Mus musculus: one gene and its partners. The protein of the gene in region 4 purifies or fractionates together with the protein of the main gene of each other region. This does not show direct contact. Links are inferred from orthologs where the notes say so. Each region holds a gene or a part of one and is shown on either strand. Other genes may lie near its edges. The genes, in order: Anapc4, Anapc11, Anapc7 and Anapc2.

Region 1 (5,349 bases), on a different chromosome or scaffold from region 4:
ATGACCAAAGCCGTGTATGTATGAATGCAGTATCAAAAAATTCTACATCACTTCCATACCTCTGTAAGTGACTTATAACCAGTTTTTGTATACTGGAATATGATGACTCTATAGACTGGCCAAGCTTTTTTAAGCCCTAATTAAAAGAAGAAAATACATTTAGCATGTAACTATGATACTATATGTCATTCCCAAAAAAGACCACTATTAAAAATGTGTTCACAGCCACTTAAACATATAGACTTTAACAGCACCTTCACTGTTAACTGGTTCATCAGGAGAGTCTGAAGTTCAGCACTGCAACAAAAAAGAAAGTATTTTAGTAATCTTTCCATTCAAACTCTGAATGTGCCATTTAAAACCTAAATTTCAAAGTACAAACAGGATTTTGGAACAAAATAATCATGAAGAAACAGCACCGGTCAAATGAGGACTGGACTGTGTTTATCCACAAAGAGACAGAAATGTCACAGTAAAGTCCAGAAATAAACCAATTATACACTTCTAAACATCAAGAAGGGATCACTGACTAGTACCCTGGAGAGTTATTTACCCAAGGTGCCAGAAGAAAAAGATTGTCTTGGCTACATAAAAGTTCTGGAATTTTATACATCCAATATACATACGCACATTCATACTTATATATACATACCAAATGATCGCATGTATATAAAAAGTTCATAGAAAATCCCCAAAACTGACATACATTTCTGGGGGCGAGGTCTTCTACCGGAATTTTGTATTTTATCTTTATAAAGGCAATAACTACCTTTGAGTAATTACTGTCAAGAGAAGAAGGGAAAGAGTCAGGGTGGGATCGTCCACGTGCGCTCACCTGGCTTTCCCCCACAGCAGCAAGTGCATGAACTCATCCTGCACTGACGTGGTTGTAGGTTTTTCCTAGATAAAATTTAAAAATTACATATTTATATTCATAAATATACTTATATTTATTTATATATTTAGTATATTTATATTATAATAAACATAAGCATATTTATTCAAAGTTATAGGGACATAATTTTAGTACAGCTCCACCCAGCTGTACCAAAGGGGAAACAAAGAGTCTGCCACAGTTTGGATGTGGCTTGTCCCCAGGGTCTCTCTGCTGAAGGCTTGCCCTTAAGGTGATGACACTGACATGGTAGGCTCTTTAAGTAGTAGCTGAGGATGGAAGGTGGCGAGTCAGTGAGAAGAAATGAAGTTGACACTCTGGGAACACTGGTTAGTTCTTCCAAGAGTGGTTGTTAGAAACAAGATTATCCACCCACACCGCCTGGCTTCCTGTGTCAGTGTGACCCCTATTAAACATGCTCTTGCCATGATGACACCTGATGAACCCTCCTCAACAGATGGAAAACAAATGATGCTACATAACCCTCAACTGTCAGAATCTAAAACTAAGAGCTAAAAAAAAATTCCTTTTTGATATATTACAAGCCACAGTACTGTTATTGAAACAGAAAACTGACTAATATATTCTTTTCACACCCTGCCCCTAAAAACTAAGGTTGTACTGAACCATCTAAAATAAAGATCTTAGCATTTTGCAAACCAAACTAATTTTTTTCTTTTTTTTAAAAAGATTTATATATTATTATACATAAGTATACTGTAGCTGTCTTCAGATGCACCAGAAGAGGGCGTCAGGTCTCATTACGGATGGTTGTGAGACACCATGTGGTTCTGGGATTTGAACTCAGGACCTTCAGAAGAGCAGTCGGTACTCTTAACCACTGAGCCATCTCTCCAGCCCCTAATTTTTTCTTTTAAGACTGTATTTTATAGAGTGAGTGTGTGTGTGTGTCTGTGCATGCACACACACAAATATAGGTATAAAAGGTATCCACAAAGGCTAAGGACATCAGATCCCTCTAAAGCTGTAATTGCAGTTGGATGTGAACCAACCAACTCAATCGTGGGCCCTCCACAAGGGCAGTAAATGAATTACTCAGGCAGCTCTCTGGCCTGCCACCTTCTCTTTGAGACAGGGTCTCATCCTATAGCCCACATCAACCTTGAATTTGTGGCAAACTTTCTGTCTTGTCTCTTCCAGTGTTGGGATTACAAAGTGAGCCGCTCTGCCCAGTTCTGACCCTCATATATCTCACAAAGTGGCAGACAGAATGAGCTCAGTATCTGCACAGGGAAGGTCAGTTAGGAGTACATTACCTGTACAAACTTGGTAAGACGGGAGTCCATCTGCATCAGAATTTCTTCCCATGCTTCACACATACATGTCAGTGACAAATTTATATACTATTAACAAAAAGAAAAGTACAGTAAAAAATATCAAAACAACATGCTATTGCATTCTTCTTTGGCAGAATTTACTTCCAACTACTCTTCTAACTCAATAAAGCTATAGGAAAAAATAAATACATGACTAAGCTTTGGTAATCACTTAATTAAGAAACTAAATTATCCAGTGATTTTTACAAATTTACAATGACACATTCCCAAGTTTGTATTTGGGAAAACAAGTGCTTTTTTGTATTTTACACATCCTGTCATGATGCTGCTTTGTTTAGGTACTTAACTGTCACACAGGATCCCTAAGAAAAAACAAACCTCTAGAAATCTTTAACAATAAGCAAAATAAAGACTGAGGTAAAACAAACAAAAGATTAGTACTTCTTTGTAGATGCTCCATCAGGGAAAACAGTCTAGCCTGGTCCCTGCCTTGTTCTAACAGAACAACACAGCAGAGAGAGTAAAACTGAGCTCAAAGCCTCCAAGTCTTTGAGAATCCTGCAGCCATCACCATGTGAATGCTCACAGGTAGGCAGGCTGGCCAGAGGATGCGGGAGCTGGAGCAGAGACATAGCCCTTCCAGCCTTGGAACATGTACCTGTTTGCATAACAAGTTTCTTTAAGGTGAACTACTCCAGGCACAGATGGATAGAACCTTCTGGATCACCCTAGCCAAACTGCTCGAGTACAGAACCATGAACTAACTTAGGATGGATTTATTATGAAAAAAGCTAAATTTATAAAGATTCTTTTTCTCTTTATAGATTTACTTATTCATTTCATGTGAGTGCATGGTCACTATCTTCAGACACAGTACAAGAGTACATCGGATTCCAATATAAATGGTTGTGAGCCACCATGTGGTTGCTGGGAATTGAACTCAGGACCTCTGGAAGAGCAATCAGTCCTCTTAAACGCTGAGCCATCCTTCTAGCCCATGAAGATACTTTTTGCACAATAACTTTTCTATAAAAAAAGTTTAAGTTACATTCTCATTATAAATAGTTTAGGAGATAAACAGGATTTTTTTCCCTTTTTTTTGGAGGCAGTTAACAGGGCTGGACAGGAGATTCTCAATTAAATTTTTGCTTTCACTTTATTAAGTATTATAAGAAGAGTAGTTTATAGCACTCCTACTGCAGGTAGCTTTACAACATGAACTTTCAATAGTTTTTCTTTATAAATCTTCCAGTAAAGAGTTAACATAGAGCAGGTCATATGGATGCGTACCTGTAAGAGAGCTGAAATGTGAGTAAACTTCCTGGCCATACGAGTTACTTCAGGTAAGAAGGAATACAGCAGATTGGTTTCAAGCTACAAAATAAAACAATAAATAAAATGACTCACAGGAGCATTTACTTCTTTTGAAGACAAATTATTCACATCCAGATTAAAAACAATCCCTTAGCTTAAAGAGTCTTTATCTAAATAACATGCCAGAAAATCTTAGAGCCCTGTCCCTTGAGTGTGGAAACCAGTAGGTGACCACCTCAGGATTTCCAACTGGGGCACAACTCTGAGTCATCCCTCCCTTCCTTGTAGCTACATATGCAGTAACTTATAGCACCATTATGACAACATTTAAAAACGACCACAGATTAATGTTAAAAACTTAGTGCAAGTAAAAAGGACTAAAGGTTATGGATTAATATGTGACTGTCAGTTAGTATGAGTCATATTTCAATGAGACCGGCATTGTTTGGCCTTGGTACAGATCTGTAATCACAGCATTTGGAAGGTCCAGGTAGGAGGATGAGGTGCAGGCATCAGGAGGAGGAAGAGGAGGAGAGGAGGAGGAGGAGAGGAGAAGGAGGTGGTGGTGCAGGCAGGAGGAGGAGGAGGAGGAGGAGGAGGCATAATGCAAGGTCATCTTCAGCTATGCGCAATGAGTTGGAGGCAAGCCTACATATTTCATGAGATCGAATTCAAAACTACAACAAAAAAACAAATCTATCACAAACCTCACAGAAAAAGGAAAATCACTTTACTAGAGCTCAGGCGCAAACTTGTTAATCAACAGTTTCTCAGCCTCACAAAAAAGAGCCAATGCAAGCAGCCATAGTCCCCAGCTCTTTGATGTTCTGAACAGACTGTGCAAATACCACACCACACATTCTTTTGGTCCTCCTTCTGAGAGTTCAGACATACTTAAAACACTGGGATAGCTCAGAAGAAACACTTGGAAAGATTTCCTAACAAAGCAAAGCTATAATATAAATATAAAAGCCCAAAGCCAGGTGTGGTGGCGCACGCCTTTAATCCCAGCACTCGGGAGGCGGAGGCAGGCGGATTTCTGAGTTTGAGGCCAGCCTGGTCTACAGAGTGAGTTCCAGGACAGTCAGGGCTTCATAGAGAAACCCTGTCTCGAAAAACAAAAAAACAAAACAAAACAAAACAAAAAAAAGCCCAGGCAGTATCCTAGTCTATAACACAAGCCAGTTTAAAAAAGATTTTTCCTTATTCTGAGTGATCATTTAATCCTTGTGGCAATGTGCTGAGAACACAAACCAGAACCAGAAAGCCTAGCATGACTTTCCAATTCTGTGGTGACTCTAAGTGAGCTCTACAGTTCCTCTTGTGCCCAAAATCTTATCTACAAATTAGATAAGTACTACCTATCCATTATATTGCTGTGTTTGAAGCACCTGTCACATTATGTAACCAATAAAATATAAGCTTTCATTACTAAGAGAGACAAAGACTAAAGAAAAAAATGAAACAAACTTCAGTACAAAGCTAAGCTGGTCAAATAACCAATTAGTAAGGCAATAACAGACTTTCAAACAGTCTTAACTATGAAAACTAAATGATAGTATATCAAGAAATAACATTCACTATAATAACACTCAATATACAAGATTTAGACATCCCAAGGAGACCTTCATGTTTTACTTATTACACTTCAGTGATATGAGTAGTTAAAACCCATAATTACATAATTGAGCGGGGTACAGCTCAATAGCAGAGAGCATGCTCTGCCCTGAGCTCAATTCCTATCACCAAGGGAAAATCATGTCCCTGACACTGGAATAGCTACAACACTCACCTGAAAATATGAAACTTCTGATTCGCCACCGCTGGAAACCTCTGTGACCA
Region 2 (5,349 bases), on a different chromosome or scaffold from region 4:
AGAACCTTGAGCTGACATTGTGGCTCTGAAAGACTGAGCAGCAGGAGCAGGGTCTGAGGATGCTCTGGGGGTGGTTTTAAATGGCATGCAAGAACTATCTATGCCCAGTGCCTACTGCTTAAGTAGGGGGACCACCTGTTCAGACTCTGGAGTCAGGGTGGAGGCTCTATCCCCTTTCTGGCTTTGTGGAAGAGGAAAAGAGCCAGCCAGGGCACAGAAGGGAAGTGGAGCAATCATCACCCCAGGGACCCGCTCAGCCAGGCACCCACTTGTCAGGGTCTCTGCGCCATCTCCTCCAGCAACCCTTAGCAGAGACAGTTTTGCTTCTTTATTAATTTAGCCATTTGCTATGGAGCATGGTGGGAGCTAGGGGCCAAACCCACACAGGGTCTGTGCTACTTCAAGCAAGACTGGGCATATGGGGGTTGGGGAGAGTCACCGGCCGCAGGGTTGGGGTTCAGGGCTCAGGTGCTCTGGCAATCAGTCTCGTGCAGCGACAAGAAGACGTCCGCTTTACACTGGAAAGTCCCTCGGCTGTTGAGTTGCCGCTGGCAGCTCTGCAGGTTCGGGGTCACATCTTTGACACACAGGGCCTGGGTAGGCGGTGGAGGCTGAGGGCCCGCCCCTGTCCCACCAGCTCCCGCCACCCATCGCCTGCTTGCACTCACAAGGCTCCTTACGCTGGGGCGCATCTCTAAATTGCGCAGAGGTCCGGTTCCCACCCGGAGTGCTGGAGACTCGGAGCGTCGCGTGGACGGGAACCTGTGGAAACTCGACAGTAGCCCCGAGGCGCGGCCCACCGAGTAGTGGTGGGGTCCCGCCGCGGGCTTGTACCACGCGAGGGCTGGCGGCAGGAGCAGCGCCAGGGCAGCGGCCACCAGCGTCCTACACCGGGCCATGGAGCTGTGACAGGGGCAGGCAGAATGTAGCGACTGAAGTCTGTGAACCAGGCTTTATATTTACAATGGGGGCGGGGGACAGAGGCAGGGAGGGGGATGAGGAGGAGCGGGCGACAGAAAGGAGTGGCGCACAGACTGCAAGTGGTAAATCAGTGGGATCTCACACCCTGCGAGATGGGGCAGAGGGCCCGTTCCTCCCTCAAGTGGAACTGTCCTTTTACTGACCAGATGTATCAACTTCCAAGGGTGGAATGTGGAACTGTCTTAGGGCACTATTACTGTGATGAAACACCATGATCAAAAGTGACTTGGGGAGGAAAGGGTTTATTTGGTTTACATATCCTGAGTCACAGTCCGCTGTAGAAAGCCAAGGCAGGAACTCCAATGGGACCGAGGTGGAAGCTGATGCAGGGGCCATGGAGGGGTGCTGCTTACTCTCAGGGCTTCCTCAGCCTGCTTTTTTACCGAACCAGGATCACCAGCCCAGGGATAGCACCACTCAAAATCTGCTGGGCCCTCCCTCATCATTCGCTAATTGATTTTTCCAAGCTGGAGAGATGGCTCAACAGTTAAAAGCACTAACTGCTGTTCCAGAGGACACAGGTTGGATTCCCAGTACCATGCGCAGGTGGCTCACAGGGCAGTTCACATCTGTCTGGAACTCTAGTTCCAGGGGTCAGATGCCTTCTTCTGGCCTCTATAGGCACTGGGAGAATGCATGTATGCACAGAAACGCTTGCAGGCAAAACATCCACACACATAAAATGTAAAGACATTATAAAGAGGAAGAAAGAAAATGTCCTACAGGCCTGCCCTCAGCCTGATCTTACGGAGGCATTTTCCCAACTGAGGATCACGCCTCTCAGAGGACTCTAGTTCACATCAAGTTAACATAACATCAGCCACCACAGGGGCCTTGCTTATTCTTTGGTCCTGTCTAGGCTCACCAACAGGGTCTCACTCTATAACCTATATTGGCCTCGAACTTGGAGAAAATAACTCATCTTGCCAATGCAACAAGGTTGGAGTTGTTTTGGTGTGGTGCTCACGGTGGAAGACTCTGATGCTGGGCTTGCCCTTTCTGAGGAGAAGTGTTGCGCTCAGGCTCCAACCTTCAGAAAAGCCTGGGCAAGCAACTCTGGACCCTAGGGGCAAGTAACTGCCCTGCCCACGCTACACCAGTGGGTATGGCCTAGGAACCGTCCCCACCTGTACTTAGCAAACAGTGACTCGAATACTGGACACAGGAGGGTAACATGTAAGAGACTTGTGGTATGTGCAGGAGCCAGAACATGAATAGGACTGTGTCTGGCCACCCAGGGCAGGCACAGGTGGATTAGAGCAGAGAGAGCTTCCTGAGGTCAGTGGTGTAGGCTTCCTCCTCCAAGGCCTCCTGCTCCCACATGGAAAAGGGGCTTAGGCTGAGCACAAGCTGCAGTGCTCGGTACATTGCTGTCCTGACTTTTCTGGAGAAAGCTGGTGGAAGAACAATGGAGTAGGAAGGGGAGGAGCCAGGGGTCCCATTTGCAAGCAGCCCAAGGTTAGTTATGGCTTTCTCATCTCTAGAGAGCGGACATGCTACATGGGTGGAGTTGACCCTGAGGAAAGGCTGCTGACACCGTGAGACAACACACCAGGAAGAACCTCAGTGGTAAGTGAAGGCCATGAAGGATTCTGAGGTTAGCCCGGGAACAGAAGCACTCAGGAGCACTGCCAACTGCACAGGAAGTTGTTTCAGAGAGGATGGCCCGGAATGAAGTCCCAGAGAATGTTCCTAGAAGAGGCATGGAGGACCCTCCAAGAAAATGAGCAGACTGGAGATGGAAGGCACAAGCTGAACAAGCCAGGGTACACCATACCTGTCAGCTCAAGGACTTCCAAATCCACCAATCCTGGCTCCCCTCTGCAGCTCTTGGGGGTCCTTACCCCTGAAATGGCCCTCTTCACTCCTGATAGCTGTGCCAGTTCCAGGATTAGCATGCTAGAGATAGCCAAGTGGTATGAAATTCTAGTCTCCCAGAAGCACAAGTCTGCTTCAAATAGGAGGACTTCAGTGATACCACACACAGTGGGCAACAAGTCTCAGAGCCAACAAACATGTAGATGATCCAGATTGCTTGGAACCAGCCCCTAGTAGTCTACTTCCCCGGCTGTGGAGCACACAGGGAGTGCAGAGGTGTTACTGGGAAGAGTCAGAGAGTGAGGACAAGGTGGTAAGTTGGCCAGAACTCCTAGATGCCAGCCTAAATTGGTTTCTACCCAGGAGCTTAACACATCAGGGCTGGGCTACTGTTTTCCTGATAACTGGTAATCCCTAGCTCTAGGGAATAATAATAGTTTCCAAATGGCCTTCCTTCCCTAAGACACCAGAGGACCCACATCCTCCTACACTATATCTGCCTTCATCCAAGGAAGACACAAGAGACTGAAAAGCTTGCTGCAGTTGTCCCCGAAGATTATCTGGACATGAATGACCACTGCCTGCTTAGCTATTTCTTCCTCCAACCAAATAGCTCTGGAAGAGCAGCTGCCAGCTTTGCTCAGCTAGGGCTGGGGATGGGACGAGATCTCGGGACTCCCAGTAGACTAGGGCAGCTGATGGGCTACGTGCACCCTGCCTGTCTCCTTGACACAAACACACCCTAAGGTCTTTGCCCAGCTTGGCTCTGCCTGAATCTCTCCTCCTCCTCCTGTCTGAGCTGTGACTCAGATTACGATGAAGGTTTTGGCCATTATTTCATCAAGCTGTTTATTGGAGTTTTCATAGCAAAACATGCTGCTAGCAGCATCAGTATGTCAAGAAACCAGGCAAGCAGAGGCCTCCAGCACGGCTCGGAACTGTAATGAGTTTTACTTATTGAATAAAGTGTCAATGTGATGGGAAAACAAAACAGTCAGCAAAGCTCCTTTCAACCTTGTCCCAGCCAAACAGAAAGCATCCTTGTCCCCGGCACAGACCGAGATCTCTGGGCACCACTGTGCTGTGTGGAGGGGACTTGGGGTGCTGTATCTGGGGGAGGGGAGGGAGGGAAGGGGCTGAGCCTGGCACAGCACAGGAGAGGGAAGTGGCACGGCACGGGCTTCACTCTTTGAACTTCCACTCCTGGCGACACATGGGGCAGTGCTGCTGCACCTGCTGCGCATTCAGCCACTTGAGGATGCAGTGCATGTGGAAGCAGTGGGAGCACTGTCCCCACACGAGGGGGCAGTCATCACCAGGCACCTTACCTGCAAGAAGGAGAGACTGGCCTTAGGTAAAGAACCAGATAAAACACACAGAGCATGTGACAAGCCAGGCAGGCACCTCTGGGACATTAGTCAACAGCTCTAATCACTGGCAGAGAGCCTCTCATTCTCAGAGGAGACAAAAAGTAGGGCTGTGACCCAAATCATCCCCAGACATGGCCCACGGCATTACAGATCTGCAGTGACTCCCTCTATAGCAAGTGAAGTGTCCTCAGAGGGGAGAGGCCTGGCCCACTAGGTTCTGGTCCCTTTCTCACACCTTTCTGTGAAAAACTGACCCGTAATACCAACGACTCACAGCCTGAGTGGAGAACTCTTTGTCTTCATTACAGGCATCCTGAAACCTGGAAAGTCTCTTCCCTGGACATCAGAGATCTACTGCACTATGGATCTTGGGGACACTGGTGTTTATGGGACAGTTACTAATAGAGGACTTATCAGCACCTGTTACCTTCTTCATCTGAAACCTCAACTCCAAAGAGCACTGACTGCTCTTTCGGAAGTCTTGAGTTAAAATCCCAGCAACCACATGGTGGCTCACAACCATCCATAATGAGAAACAAAATAAAGAACCTATGGGCCGGAGTGAACATGGGGGGGCCAGAGCAAGTGGGACCTGGAGCAAGTGGGGGCCGGAGCAAGAGGGAGAAATGGAAAGTGGGGGGAGAAAAGAAGCTGGACAGAACCTCTGAAGCTGACCTCTGGCTGACAAACAGATAGGCACATAGACACACAGACACATACACATACATGCAGACACACATACATAAACATATGCACAGGCACACACACACTGAGTTCAAGGCCAGCCTGGTCTAAAGTGGGAGTTTCAGGACAGCCAGGGCTACACAGAGAAACACTATCTCAAAATAAAAAAAATAAAAAAAAAAAGCAAGCAACCACAACTCCTACTTCCACCCCAAGCCAGGGGGCACAGGCTGCAGACACTCTGCAAGTCCAAGTCCAAGGGGAGATAGATTATATAGATTATCATAATCAAAACTAATAGGGGGCTGTAGAGCTAACAGGGTTCAGTCCCTAGCTTCCACACGACAGCTCACAGCCATCTGTACGTACTCTAATTCCAGCAGATCTGACACCCTCTTCCGGTTCCCCCAGACACTGCATACATGTGGTAAATACATGCACTCAGGCAAAACATAGAAAATAAAAATGCATAAATATGTTTAAAGTAAAATTTAAA
Region 3 (5,349 bases), on a different chromosome or scaffold from region 4:
TTTGACTCCTTTTTCCACCTCCCAAGTGCTGAGATCACAAGTGGGGTTGGACAGCTTGGAAAGAGGAATACACGCCAGAGGAGAACTTGTACAAACAAACACTCTAGATCTATTCCCACACTCAGTCACCCTTCTTGTTTGTTTGAGTCAGGGTTTCCCTGTGTAGCTAACCTCGCTCTCACAAGCCTGCTTCAGCCTGTTAGAATTATTGGTAACTTACTCTTTAGAATCTAAAGCCTGTTTATTATCCCGAGGCGCATTTTTCTGGTGACCTCTGTTGAGTCTTTACAAATTTCACTCACTGGCCCCACCGGCTTCTCAAGCCCCTGTGCCTTGTGCCTTCACTCCGCCCTGATGACACGGTAGGCACCTTCCCTCCCTCTATAGCCACTCCCCTGCTTCCTCAACATCATACAAGGACACAGTAAAACCAAAGCTCCTAGAAGGACATTAGGGTTCTCAGATGCCATAAGTCAGCCACATCACACATGTATTAACTCGCAGGGAGGTGGAGATGCCACAAAGGCCCTTACAAGAAGGCTAAGCAATGGTCTGTGAAGAGAAAACAGCCACTCAGAACAGAATTACCTAAGTGTTAAAAAGCCATGCCAGGATAGGAGAAAGAACCACTACAGGAAGCCTTACAAAAGCGGCTTGGAAACCAGGAGCAGAGATGAGCATGGTAGTACATACCTGTGAGCCAGGCACTTGGGAGGTGAAAACAGAATCAAGAAATCAAAGCCAAGTTCAAGGCTAACCTGCGCTACATGGACTATGTCTTCAAAAAAAAAAAGCGCGGGGGGGGGGGGGGGGGGGGCTCAGCAGCCAAGAGCATGCACTGTTCTTTGTAGATCCCCACATCAGAAGGGTCATAATTCTGACCCCTGGGAAACAAACATAACGCCTCTGACTTCCAAGAGCACCTGTCCTCACCTGTATGCGTACAAACACACACACACACACACACACACACACACACACACACACACAAAGCCTAAAAACAGTAACACACTCAGTCGGACTCACCTCTTATCAAGTAGGGATCCAGCATCTGGGCCTGCTCAAACTTGAGGACAGAGTTCTTGCTGTCCCCTGCTCTGAAGTACAGGTCGGCCAGGCTCCCCAGCAGGTCCACGTTGTCTCGCAGTAATGATTTTTTCTCTAGTGAACTTAAAAGATAAATACTAACCCTTAGACTCTGTTACAATCTGTTTTTAATCATTCCATCTGGGGGTGGGCTTACAGATGACATACTTTTCTATATGGGTGAAATTTTTGATAAAAAGGCTTGGGGGGGGGGGTGATTTTTGAAGTAGGGTCGCACTAAATTCCCCAGGTTAGCCTTGAACTCACGATCCTCCTACCTCCTCCTCCAAGTCCTGACAGTACACACAGGCACTACAACTCCTAACTATAATAGTAATAATTAAAGGAAGGAAACGTCAGTAAGGCAGTGAGCTGCCTCAGCAGGTTAAGAGCAGCACTTGCCACCAGGCCTGATGATCTGAGTTTGACCCTGGAACCTCTGTGGTGGAAGAGAACCGACACCTCCAAGTTGTCCTCTGACCTCCACACAAGCACGTGTGCCCACATACAACAAATAAACACAAATCTAATTTTTAAAACTTTTTTTTCCCCTGAGACAGGGTTTCTCTGTGCAGCCCTGGCTGTCCTGGAACTCACTCTGTAGACCAGGCTGGCCTCGAACTCAGAAATCCGCCTGCCTCTGCCTCCCGAGTGCTGGGATTAAAGGCATGCCTGGCCTAAAACTTTTTAAAGGACTGAGGTACAATGGACCTTAACCTCAGCTTTAAAGTCACACAGGGGTCTGGAAGAAGGCTCAGCAGTGAGAGCATCGTATGTCCCTGCAAAGGGGCCAGATCCATTTCCTAGCACTAGCAGAGCAGCTTACGGGTGACCGTGACTTCAGCTCAGAGAAGCTGACGCCCTCTCCTGGCCTCTGTTCACTATGCATGCACATGCCATGCAAACTACATGCAGACAGACAACCATCTATATACATGAAAGGAAATAAAATACTTAAAAGTCATATAATGATACTTTATATGCACATATCTCAAATATATCACTTAATATCTATAAAAACCTCTGTGGTTATAATTTTCTTTTTTGGAGACAGGGTTTCACTAAAGAGCCCTGGCAGGCCTGCCTCAGTCTCTTGAGCACTGAGGTTAAAAGTGCTCACTACCACAACAGCACGGTTATAATTTTTTAAACAAAAATGACTTTTAATACAGCATTCACTAGTGATAGCTACTTGTGACAAATAGGTAGGCAAGGAGGTACATGACAGATGACAGATAGGTAGGTGGGTAGTAGTTAGTTGATAGATAAATGATAGTTAGATGATAGATAGATAGATGCACACATGCATGCAGCCTTTGGTCCTAGAACTTTGTTTAAATAAATAAAAAGAAATCCCTAACTGCAAAGAGATCTAGCCTATGTCAGGTATACAGTAAACATGTCTACCAAGTCGAAAAGGCATGAACATGACACCCTCAGCAGTTTGCTCTTTTTTTTTTTAAAGACTTATTTATTACATGTAAGTACACTGTAGCTGTCTTCAAACACTCCAGAAAAGGGTGTCAAATCTCATTACAGATGGTTGTGAGCCATCATGTGGTTGCTGGGAATTGAACTCAGGACCTTTGGAAGAGCAGTCAGTGCTCTTACCGGCTGAGCCATCTCTCCAGCCCCCAGCAGTCTGCTCTTTAAGGAAGGCCATCTTCATATGAACAGTACAGAACTCAGTCCGGCTGTTCATTTTCACAGGTTCCAACAGTTTATTACATATGCAATCACTTAGTGCATTAGAAAAAAAACCTAACCCAAAGACAAATGCTGCAATGTCAAGCAGTAAGCAGCACCTAGCTTTTGTGTCACCAGCTATATCACACCTAGCTCTTCTGTGTCACCAGCTATATCACATCTCTAGATGAGGAAAGGGCTAAGATCCCTGGAGTCAGCCAGGCTTGGTGGCTCGTGCCTATAGTCCTAGCACTAGGGACACCTAGGCTGGAAGACTGAGGCAATTTCAAGGGCAACCTGGGTATGTAGTAAGATGTGACTTATCTCAGACTGTGCCTCCCACCAAAATAACCACTGAGTTGACACCTTGGCTCTCACCAGATGGTGTTGATTGCTCTCGAGTTGTCACCGGTGTGCACAAAAGCATACGCTTTAATCCACACGGACAGCCAGTCCAAGTTGGGCACAGTCTGGATCACATTCATCGTCATTGATGCCACCTCTGCGCCTTTCACAGACAGGGATAACAAACCTGGCCCCAAGAGCAAGAGAAACGTGAGGCACAGCACCCTCTTCCCACGGTGCAACCCCAGCAGCTACACAGCTGCCCTCCCTCCTCTAAGCAAGATACACACAACTCAAAGGTCAGCGCCTCAGGCATGCTCAAGCATTGCAGCCACTCAACTGTACCCTGTCCAAGACAGCGACTCCTCTAGTTCATAACCGACAGTGCTCAGAATGGTGTAAACTTACTCTATGCGCCATGAAGTCGGCTCAGTGGTGAAGAGCACTTGCTGGTCTTGCAGAGGATCCAAGTTTAATTCCCAGTACTCATGTCTACCACCATCCCCTAACTCCAGCTCTTGGGGCTCCAATGCCCCCCTCCAACCATTATGGCATTAGACACTACATACATACAGACATACAGACAAAACCCTCATTCACATTAACATAAAATTAAAATCTGAAAAAAAAACCCTGCTCTATCTAACCATAGTTGTGACTGAGAACCATCATCTAAGACTGCAAACACCCCAGGCACCAGGGAGAAAACTTTCTGTACCTAGAATGGCGTCAAGGGCCAAAGGGCACTGCCGCAGGACCTCCTTATAGCTTGTGACTGATGGGCGCTCCTGACCAGCCTTCTTGTACAGGTTTGCCAGCATCATGTTTATCTACACACACGAAACAGAGAACGGTAAAGCAAGAGTATCCGCACAGCAAACACTGCGCCGTGAGCGCGCGCTCATTTGATGCCCGACTACTATTCTACTTTCTAGCAGAAAAACCAACCCACAGCCCTGTGCAAATAAAGACCGGCTCCTTAAAACAAAGTACTATTATCCTTGTTTTTCTTAGCCATGTGATCCTCGCAAAACACCTCCTAATATCTGACCCAAAGATGCTGCCTCTGGGACATTGAGAAATGTTCCATAATTTTAGATACCTTGATTCAAGCAGATATATTTTAAGGATTTCTTTGATTTGTTTTTGAGACGGGGTGGGGGTGTTAGTGTGTAGACCAGGCTAGCCTGGAACTCATAAAGATCCAACTGCTTCTGCCTCCTAAGAGCTGGGATTAAAGGCATGTGTCACCAAAGGTTTTTTTTTTTTTCCAGACAGGGTCTTCTCTGTGTAGCCTCAGCTGTTGTGGAACTTGCTCTGTACACCAGGCTGGCCTCGAGATCCACCTGCCCTGCCTTTAAGTGTCAGGATTAAAGGTGTGCACCACTACCTCTAGCCAAGATTTACCGCTTACTACCTGACCTAAATGCTGGAAACTGAACTCAGATCTTCTGAAAGACTTGTGTATGTTCCTAACTGCTGAGCCATCTCTCCAGCCCAAGCAGAGGTCAATACTATTGCATAACAAAGTGAAGAAAATCTTTTAGTTTAGTTTATGTGCATAAATGTGTGTGTCTGCGCGCGCATGTGGAGGCTAGCAGAGGCGGAGGAGTCCCTGGAGCTGGAGTTACAGGTGGGTGCGAGCTGCTGATGTGGGTGTTGGGTTTCAAACTCTGGCCCCAGAAGAAGAAAAAACTTTTAACTCCTGAGCCATCTCTCAAGCTCCTCTTTTGTTTTTGGTTTTATGAGACAAGCTCTCGTGCAGCTCAAGCTGGCCTCAAACGCACTGCATACCTGAGGATGACGACCTTGAATTGCTGACCTTCGTGAATCACCTCTACATCCCAAGTGCAGGATACAGGCATGTAGCATTACATTATCTGGCTGGTTCTTAGCTCGGCCTGGCCTGGAACTTACTATGTAGATCAAGGGTAGCCTCAAACTTACAGCAATCCTCAGACTCAGCTTCCTAAGTGCTGGGAATGAGCCATACGACAGTGTGTGTGAGCCACAACGCCCAACTTACACTGCGGGGCATAGCCATTTAAGAATCAGTTGAAATTAAAATACCTGGCTTCCGACAAACCAGTAGCTGGAATTTGGCCCATCTAATACTTCAACTCTGACTCACCAGAGCTGTCGACTCACCAAACTGAGACAAAAATCAAACTCAAAATGACCTCCAAATGTAACAATGACTCAAATAGAAACTACACTATTTAAATCCAGTGA
Region 4 (5,800 bases):
ATGCTGTGATAGTAGTCAGAGCTCAGTGCTCTGAGGGTCTGTTGCCTTGGAGACCAGACAACCACTGCCCAAGGAAGCAAGTTGGCCTATATCCTGGCATGGTCAGGGTTAACCTACACCTCTGTACTGAACTTGGTGACCCAGGCTGGGAAGCAGAGCTGCCCCACCCTGCTACCACTCTCTTCTATAGGGGACCTGCCAAGCAAACTAAGAGGCAGGAAGAGGAAATGTCAGCCCTGTAGCTGACTGAGCCCAGCCTCTTGCCAGCTGGAGCCAACAGGGAGCCAGGAGAGGCGCACAGTTGAACGCAGTGGCCCTAATCACAAGGACATCCCTGCCGGCAAACACGCGTACCCTTCTAGGGTTGGTCTTTAAGGAACAGCTAGTAGTTCCTGATATGGGCTTCAAATTGGTTGAATGATAATGAGAACCAAAACCTCTGGTCTTTAAGACACATGCACAAACTTAGTCCAAAGGAATGCAGAACAGAAGGTGTGCCTGAGGCCCAGGGCTGGCACTGTCACCCTGCCAAGCCAGCCTAGCAAGTTTATATCCTGGTTAGGACAAAGACACACCCGTCTGTGGCCTGGTGGTATGAACCAGATAGGAACACTTGGTGGGGGGATCATCAGGGCCCCTGCTGCTACCACAACAGGGAGGAGCAGTTCTTGTAGCAATGGCACTTAAGTGGGGGTAGGAAGCAGAGACTCAGGACTGGCAGCTCGAGGAGAGCAAACCTCATTTCTGAAGTACTGTGACCAAGGCTTCCTAGATTTCTGGGAAGCCTTAGGCTATGACCAAGGTTGTGTGCCTAATTCCTGCCTCCACCCTTTAAAATCTGAGGCAAGATGATCTCTGTAGAACAGGAAGGGTGGAGTGAGACCTCTGAGGGGGACTACCGCTCAGAACCCACACCAGAGCTAGTAGCTGATAATGAGAGGTGGTGGTTCTGCAGCACAGACTGGGCTTGAGGGGACTGGGAAGGGACTAGGGGTAGTGGCAGCAGCCCAAGCTAGGTGTGGCTTGTGGCCTGGGATCCACCTTGGGCAGGATCTGGGTGTGTAAGCAATGATTCCAAAGGGCTTTTGTTTCCTTTGAGGATGGCACCTCAGGTCAGTATTTCCTGACTGAAAACAGCTGTTCTGGGACAGGGACACAGGGGCCCATGCTGTGTCCCACCAGGTTCTGTTGTCTTAAGGCCAACCTGTCCTCAACAGGTGTCTGGGCACAGCCTGCCTACAAGGGTGGCTGAGCCCTATCTTGGAGGAAAAGGATTATTAAACTGTGTCCTGGGTTCTCTTCTTGTCCCCACCCTCTTCCTGTACTTCTGACAGCATCTCTGGGGGACCTGAAAGAGTCTGAGTACATACTTGTAAGCTCCAAGAAGTGTGGCCAGTAGAGAAAAGAGGACAAAGGACTAATACGCCCCTGGCCCCCAGCATATGTCCTTAGGCTGACCTTGACTGCTAGACACAGGTGTGCACTTGACTCAGGTTGCCTCACCTGAGGATCTCATCGAGTGCAAATGTACTAACAGCACAAAGCCTTACATTGATTCCACAGATGCCACACACAAGTGAAGGACCAAGAGTTCCTTTTAATGGCCACAAAAGCAGGATGGGGCCAAAGTCTAACTCGGGAGACTCTGAGCTGCCAACCCTATTCACTCTTGCTGAAACAGGTCCCAGCATATTCTAAGACAGGCTACAGGAGATAGCTTTAGGGTAATCTATTGCCCAAACATACAAGCTTAGGCTGGGGTAAGCCTGGCTTCTTGGGTGGCTCAGTTACCTGCTGCTGGGAATCCAGGCCCTGTAGGGTTATGGTTGGGTGGCTATAGAGGGCAAACCTGTTTGTATTCATGGGATCCAACAAAATACATGAAAGGATGAGCCAATATGCTTTAATTTGTTCTGTGGGTGTTAGGCAGGGAACGGGCAGGGACTGGGCACAGGAACATGGAAATAGAAGCTGTCCATCTAGGGGTTGCACAGGCATGAATGCTGTAGTCAGAGCCTGGAAAGGGAACATCAGTTGGAATTCTTAGGCAGGCGGTAGACACCTGCAGAATAGATGAGCTGCTGGTCTCGGACCTTCTTCTGCAAGTAGCCCTGCAGCTCCTGCAGGTCAATCTCAGCCAGCGCAGGGCCAGTCATTACAAACATCCGGAGCATGCTGTAGATACGCTCCAGAGAGAGGCTCTCTAGGTTGGTTAACATGGCCTGGATGTATGCCCAGAAGAGCTAGGAACAGAAGCCAGGCATGGTTAGTTGTCCACTTATTTGGCCCACCCCAGCCCAATGTGGAAATGGCCAACGTACCAGTAGCTCCTCTTCCTTCTGGTCAGCCTGGGAGGCCATGCCTGAGTCACTCTCATCATCACTGTCAATCAGCACCATGTTGTCCCTATCCTGAGGCCGCTCTTCCTCAATGACAGAGAAAGTGCCTGGAGGTTCCTCCCGCAGCACACCCTGTTGCAGCCACACTGACATGCGTCTTCGAAGCAGTGCCACAGGCATCTTCACCACCTTGCTCAGTTCCTCCAGGGTCCAGCTGGCTGTGTGCAGAGCCATAGGATGCAGGTACCGAAGATTATACCTGCTCCAATACCTGTTAGCTAGCTGGACCCCCAGACGCACGTGGATTGTCCTGTGTAACTCATAGGTAAAAAGAATGGTTGCTACCCCTACACTCTGCTGGGGGCTGGGGAATCTGGCATGTTACCTTATAGCCCATCAGATTATAGCAATAGCCCCAAGGTAGTGTAGTCAAAGCAGAGCAGATATGGTTCTAGGGACTCACCTTGGTTCTGGAAATACAGCAAGACCACTGCCTGTACTGGGGTCACCGCAACAGACAGGGTGCGGTCAGCAAGCTCCACATCCATTGTCACCAGGCCCAGGGTGTGCTTCCAACTAAGTGTCCGCATAGCCTGGGCAGGAATCATCAATAACAGTCCAGTGGGTTCCAGGCAGGTCCAGATGAACAAGGCATAGGCTCATATGCCATGCTACCAAGCATGGAATGGCTCTTGCACCAATGCCATTCCTGGCAGGTAGGTAGTCAACAGCAAGACCAGGAGACCTGATTGGAGTCCCTGGCTCCTGAACAACCATGATATAACTGCTGATAAATTGTGTCCCTCTCATGTCTCAGTACCTTGGAACATGAGTTATTTGCAAAGAGAGTTAATGTAGATGTAATTAGTTAAGAAGAGGTCATCCTGGAGTAGGGTAGCCCTTAAGGCACAGAAGGGAGTGGTTATGAGAGGCATAAAGTATGCTGACATATCAAAAGCTGGGAAAGCAAAAGAGTAGTTTTTTAGAGGCAACAGGAGGAGCCCAGTCCTGCCAACACCCCAACACTGGACTTCTATTTCCCAGAACTAAAACATTTTTCTGTTGTTTAAAACCACTCAGCCTGTGACTTTGTCTTCTGTCTGTCTGTCTGTCTGTCTGTCTGTAAGACAGGGTTTCTCTGTGTAGCCCTGTTAAAAAGGTCATAATAAGTGAAGCTTCTGCTGTATAGATGGCACATGCCTTTAATCCCAGCACTTGGGAGGCAGAGGCAGGTGGAGCTCTGTGAGTTCGAGGCCAGCCTGGTCTACAGAGTGAGTTCCAGAATAGCCAGGGCTACACAGAGAAGCCCTGTCTAAAACAGAAAAAAAAAAAAAAAAAAAAAGGATGATTCTGGTTCTATGTAGGGATACTGCTCTAAAAACACCTAAAATATAGAAGTTGTTTGTACAATGGGGAAGCACATGAAGGTTAAACCTTAGGTTGCTACAGTTAACTGGCACGACATGGAAGATGCAGATGATGCTGGTGAAGGCTCAAGGAAGGATAAGAGCTATTGCCCATACTATAGAGAATAATGCTGGTAGAGATGAGGGCACTGAGAGGACCTGCTGCTGAGAGCTCAGATAGAAACGATGAGCAAACACTAGACACTGGGGGAGCTGGCAGAGAACTACCAGCCTGTAGCTAGATGTTTGCTGACATGAGTGTGATTTGTAGATCCACCCGGAACACGTAGCATATCCAGGAACATACCCCTTCCCTCACTTTCTTTTCTTCATTTTTTAAATAAAAGACAGAGCCTTCCTCTATAGCTGAATTGCCTTGAAACTTGTTATATACAACACGCTAGCCTCAAACTAGCAGTGCTGCTGCTGTGCCTGCCTCCAAGGCTGGGGTGACAGGCATCACCAGCACACTTGGCTCAGGATCACAGTCACTTGATAAATTGGATATTGTACACTTCATGGAAAGCACCAAGATTTTGGGTGTTATGTCAGCAGCAATGCTGACAGTCTGAATGCAGTGACAGAGGTACAGGAGAGTGCACACAGGGCTGCCAGGAAAGCCAAGGGCACCACCAAGGCCTGAGCCACACTGTCAACTCTGCTTTCCGTGGTTCAGATTTGCTTTAGGCTCATGATCCTTCTTGCTGCCTTTGGGAACACCCTCTTCTGAACTGGGCTTGTTTTAACAATGTGCTTTGGATCAAAACAACCTCACAGCATCAAGGTGGAGACGAAACCTACTTCAGATGGATACGGTTTTTTTTTTTTTGGGGGGGGTCCTCACTATATAGCTAGGCTATATAATGAACCACCACCCTTCTGCTTTAGTCTCCTGAGTGCTAGGATCATAGATAGGCACCACCCATCTAGATTAGAAGAGATTTTTAAGAACTGATGCTGAAGTGGTTAATTTTGGAGATATTGGCTAATTTTCTCATGTAAAGACTATTAGTTTTAGAACCACAGGCTGCCATGGGCCAAACTGTATCTCTTCAAAGAGATAGTAAGTAAAGCCCAGGACACTGACTCTAGTGACACTGTAAGTCCTATCTCCAGGGTCCTTAATCTGATATAACTAGTATCCCAAGAAGAGGGAAACAGACATAGAGAAAACTTGGACATAAAGATATGCATTTACCACCTGGGCAGTGGTGGCGCACGCCTTTAATCCCAGCACTCAGGAGGCAGAGGCAGGCGGATTTCTGAGTTGGAGGTCAGCCTGGTCTATAGAGTGAGTTCCAAGACAGCCAGGGCTACACAGAGAAACCCTGTCTCAAAAAAACAAAAACAAAATAAAGAAAAAGGCCATTTACTTAGATCTGCCAGGGCTACTGCAAGAGGCAGGAAGGATCGTTTCCCTTAGAGCATTCTGGGGCAATACAATGCAGTAATACATTTCTAATCTGGTAACCCTGTACTTTGCAGTGTCTCATTGAGGTGGCACCCGGGACACTGATTCCTTTGCTCTAGTGGCCACCTGATGGTCTGAGACCCTCCAGGACCCCTGTAGCTCTTAAGGGAGAAGTGTACCAGTAAACTCACTTTACAGATAGAAAAGGAGGCAGTACCAGTGGCTTCCCCCAGTTTCAGCCAGTTTAGCTTCCCTAACACTGGTTCTAAAGCCATGACCTGCAAAAGGGTTACAATATACAGGCTGCACAGTCGGTCACCCACAGACCCAGCCAGATCCTTTAGGAGCTTGGCTGATGAAAGATAGTGGAATTGTTGCCACAGGCCTGACCTCTTAGCACAGGGGTTTGCCAGAGCCATTCCAGTATCAGCAAAAATTAAGATAAATGACACTAGCATATGGCCATCCTAACTATTTGGATGTGATCAACAAGATGTGACTAAGCCGCGGCACGCCTTTAATCTTAGCACTTGGGAGGCAGAGGCAGGTGGATTTCTGAGTTCGAGGACAGCCTGGTCTACAAAGTGAGTTCCAGGACAGCCAGGGCTACACAAAGAAACCCTGTCTCAAAAAAGAAAAGAAAA

The links.
Region 1: the proteins of Anapc2 (region 4) and Anapc4 purify together in Homo sapiens (affinity purification with western blotting; 12 studies listed by BioGRID and IntAct, with this or other methods). This does not show direct contact. The link is inferred for Mus musculus from reciprocal best matches to the Homo sapiens genes ANAPC2 and ANAPC4.
Region 2: the proteins of Anapc2 (region 4) and Anapc11 purify together in Homo sapiens (affinity purification with western blotting; 7 studies listed by BioGRID and IntAct, with this or other methods). This does not show direct contact. The link is inferred for Mus musculus from reciprocal best matches to the Homo sapiens genes ANAPC2 and ANAPC11.
Region 3: the proteins of Anapc2 (region 4) and Anapc7 fractionate together in Homo sapiens (co-fractionation; 6 studies listed by BioGRID and IntAct, with this or other methods). This does not show direct contact. The link is inferred for Mus musculus from reciprocal best matches to the Homo sapiens genes ANAPC2 and ANAPC7.

The regions. Positions count from the first base shown.
Region 1 is NC_000071.6:52,843,542-52,848,890, reverse strand, and holds part of Anapc4 (anaphase-promoting complex subunit 4), read right to left. Parts: coding exon 5,300-5,349; intron 3,568-5,299; coding exon 3,484-3,567; intron 2,260-3,483; coding exon 2,173-2,259; intron 901-2,172; coding exon 836-900; intron 298-835; coding exon 255-297; intron 137-254; coding exon 60-136; intron 1-59. UniProt on the Homo sapiens protein: Component of the anaphase promoting complex/cyclosome (APC/C), a cell cycle-regulated E3 ubiquitin ligase that controls progression through mitosis and the G1 phase of the cell cycle.
Region 2 is NC_000077.6:120,604,059-120,609,407, reverse strand, and holds the end of Anapc11 (anaphase-promoting complex subunit 11), read right to left. Parts: intron 4,128-5,349; coding exon 3,982-4,127; 3' UTR 1,210-3,981; downstream 1-1,209. Other genes in the region: Npb (neuropeptide B isoform 1 precursor), read right to left, coding at 465-593, 669-899. UniProt on the Homo sapiens protein: Together with the cullin protein ANAPC2, constitutes the catalytic component of the anaphase promoting complex/cyclosome (APC/C), a cell cycle-regulated E3 ubiquitin ligase that controls progression through mitosis and the G1 phase of the cell cycle.
Region 3 is NC_000071.6:122,431,339-122,436,687, reverse strand, and holds part of Anapc7 (anaphase-promoting complex subunit 7), read right to left. Parts: intron 3,948-5,349; coding exon 3,836-3,947; intron 3,305-3,835; coding exon 3,151-3,304; intron 1,170-3,150; coding exon 1,027-1,169; intron 1-1,026. UniProt on the Homo sapiens protein: Component of the anaphase promoting complex/cyclosome (APC/C), a cell cycle-regulated E3 ubiquitin ligase that controls progression through mitosis and the G1 phase of the cell cycle.
Region 4 is NC_000068.7:25,281,694-25,287,493, reverse strand, and holds the end of Anapc2 (anaphase-promoting complex subunit 2), read right to left. Parts: intron 2,933-5,800; coding exon 2,803-2,932; intron 2,558-2,802; coding exon 2,322-2,557; intron 2,244-2,321; coding exon 2,031-2,243; 3' UTR 1,578-2,030; downstream 1-1,577. UniProt on the Homo sapiens protein: Together with the RING-H2 protein ANAPC11, constitutes the catalytic component of the anaphase promoting complex/cyclosome (APC/C), a cell cycle-regulated E3 ubiquitin ligase that controls progression through mitosis and the G1 phase of the cell cycle.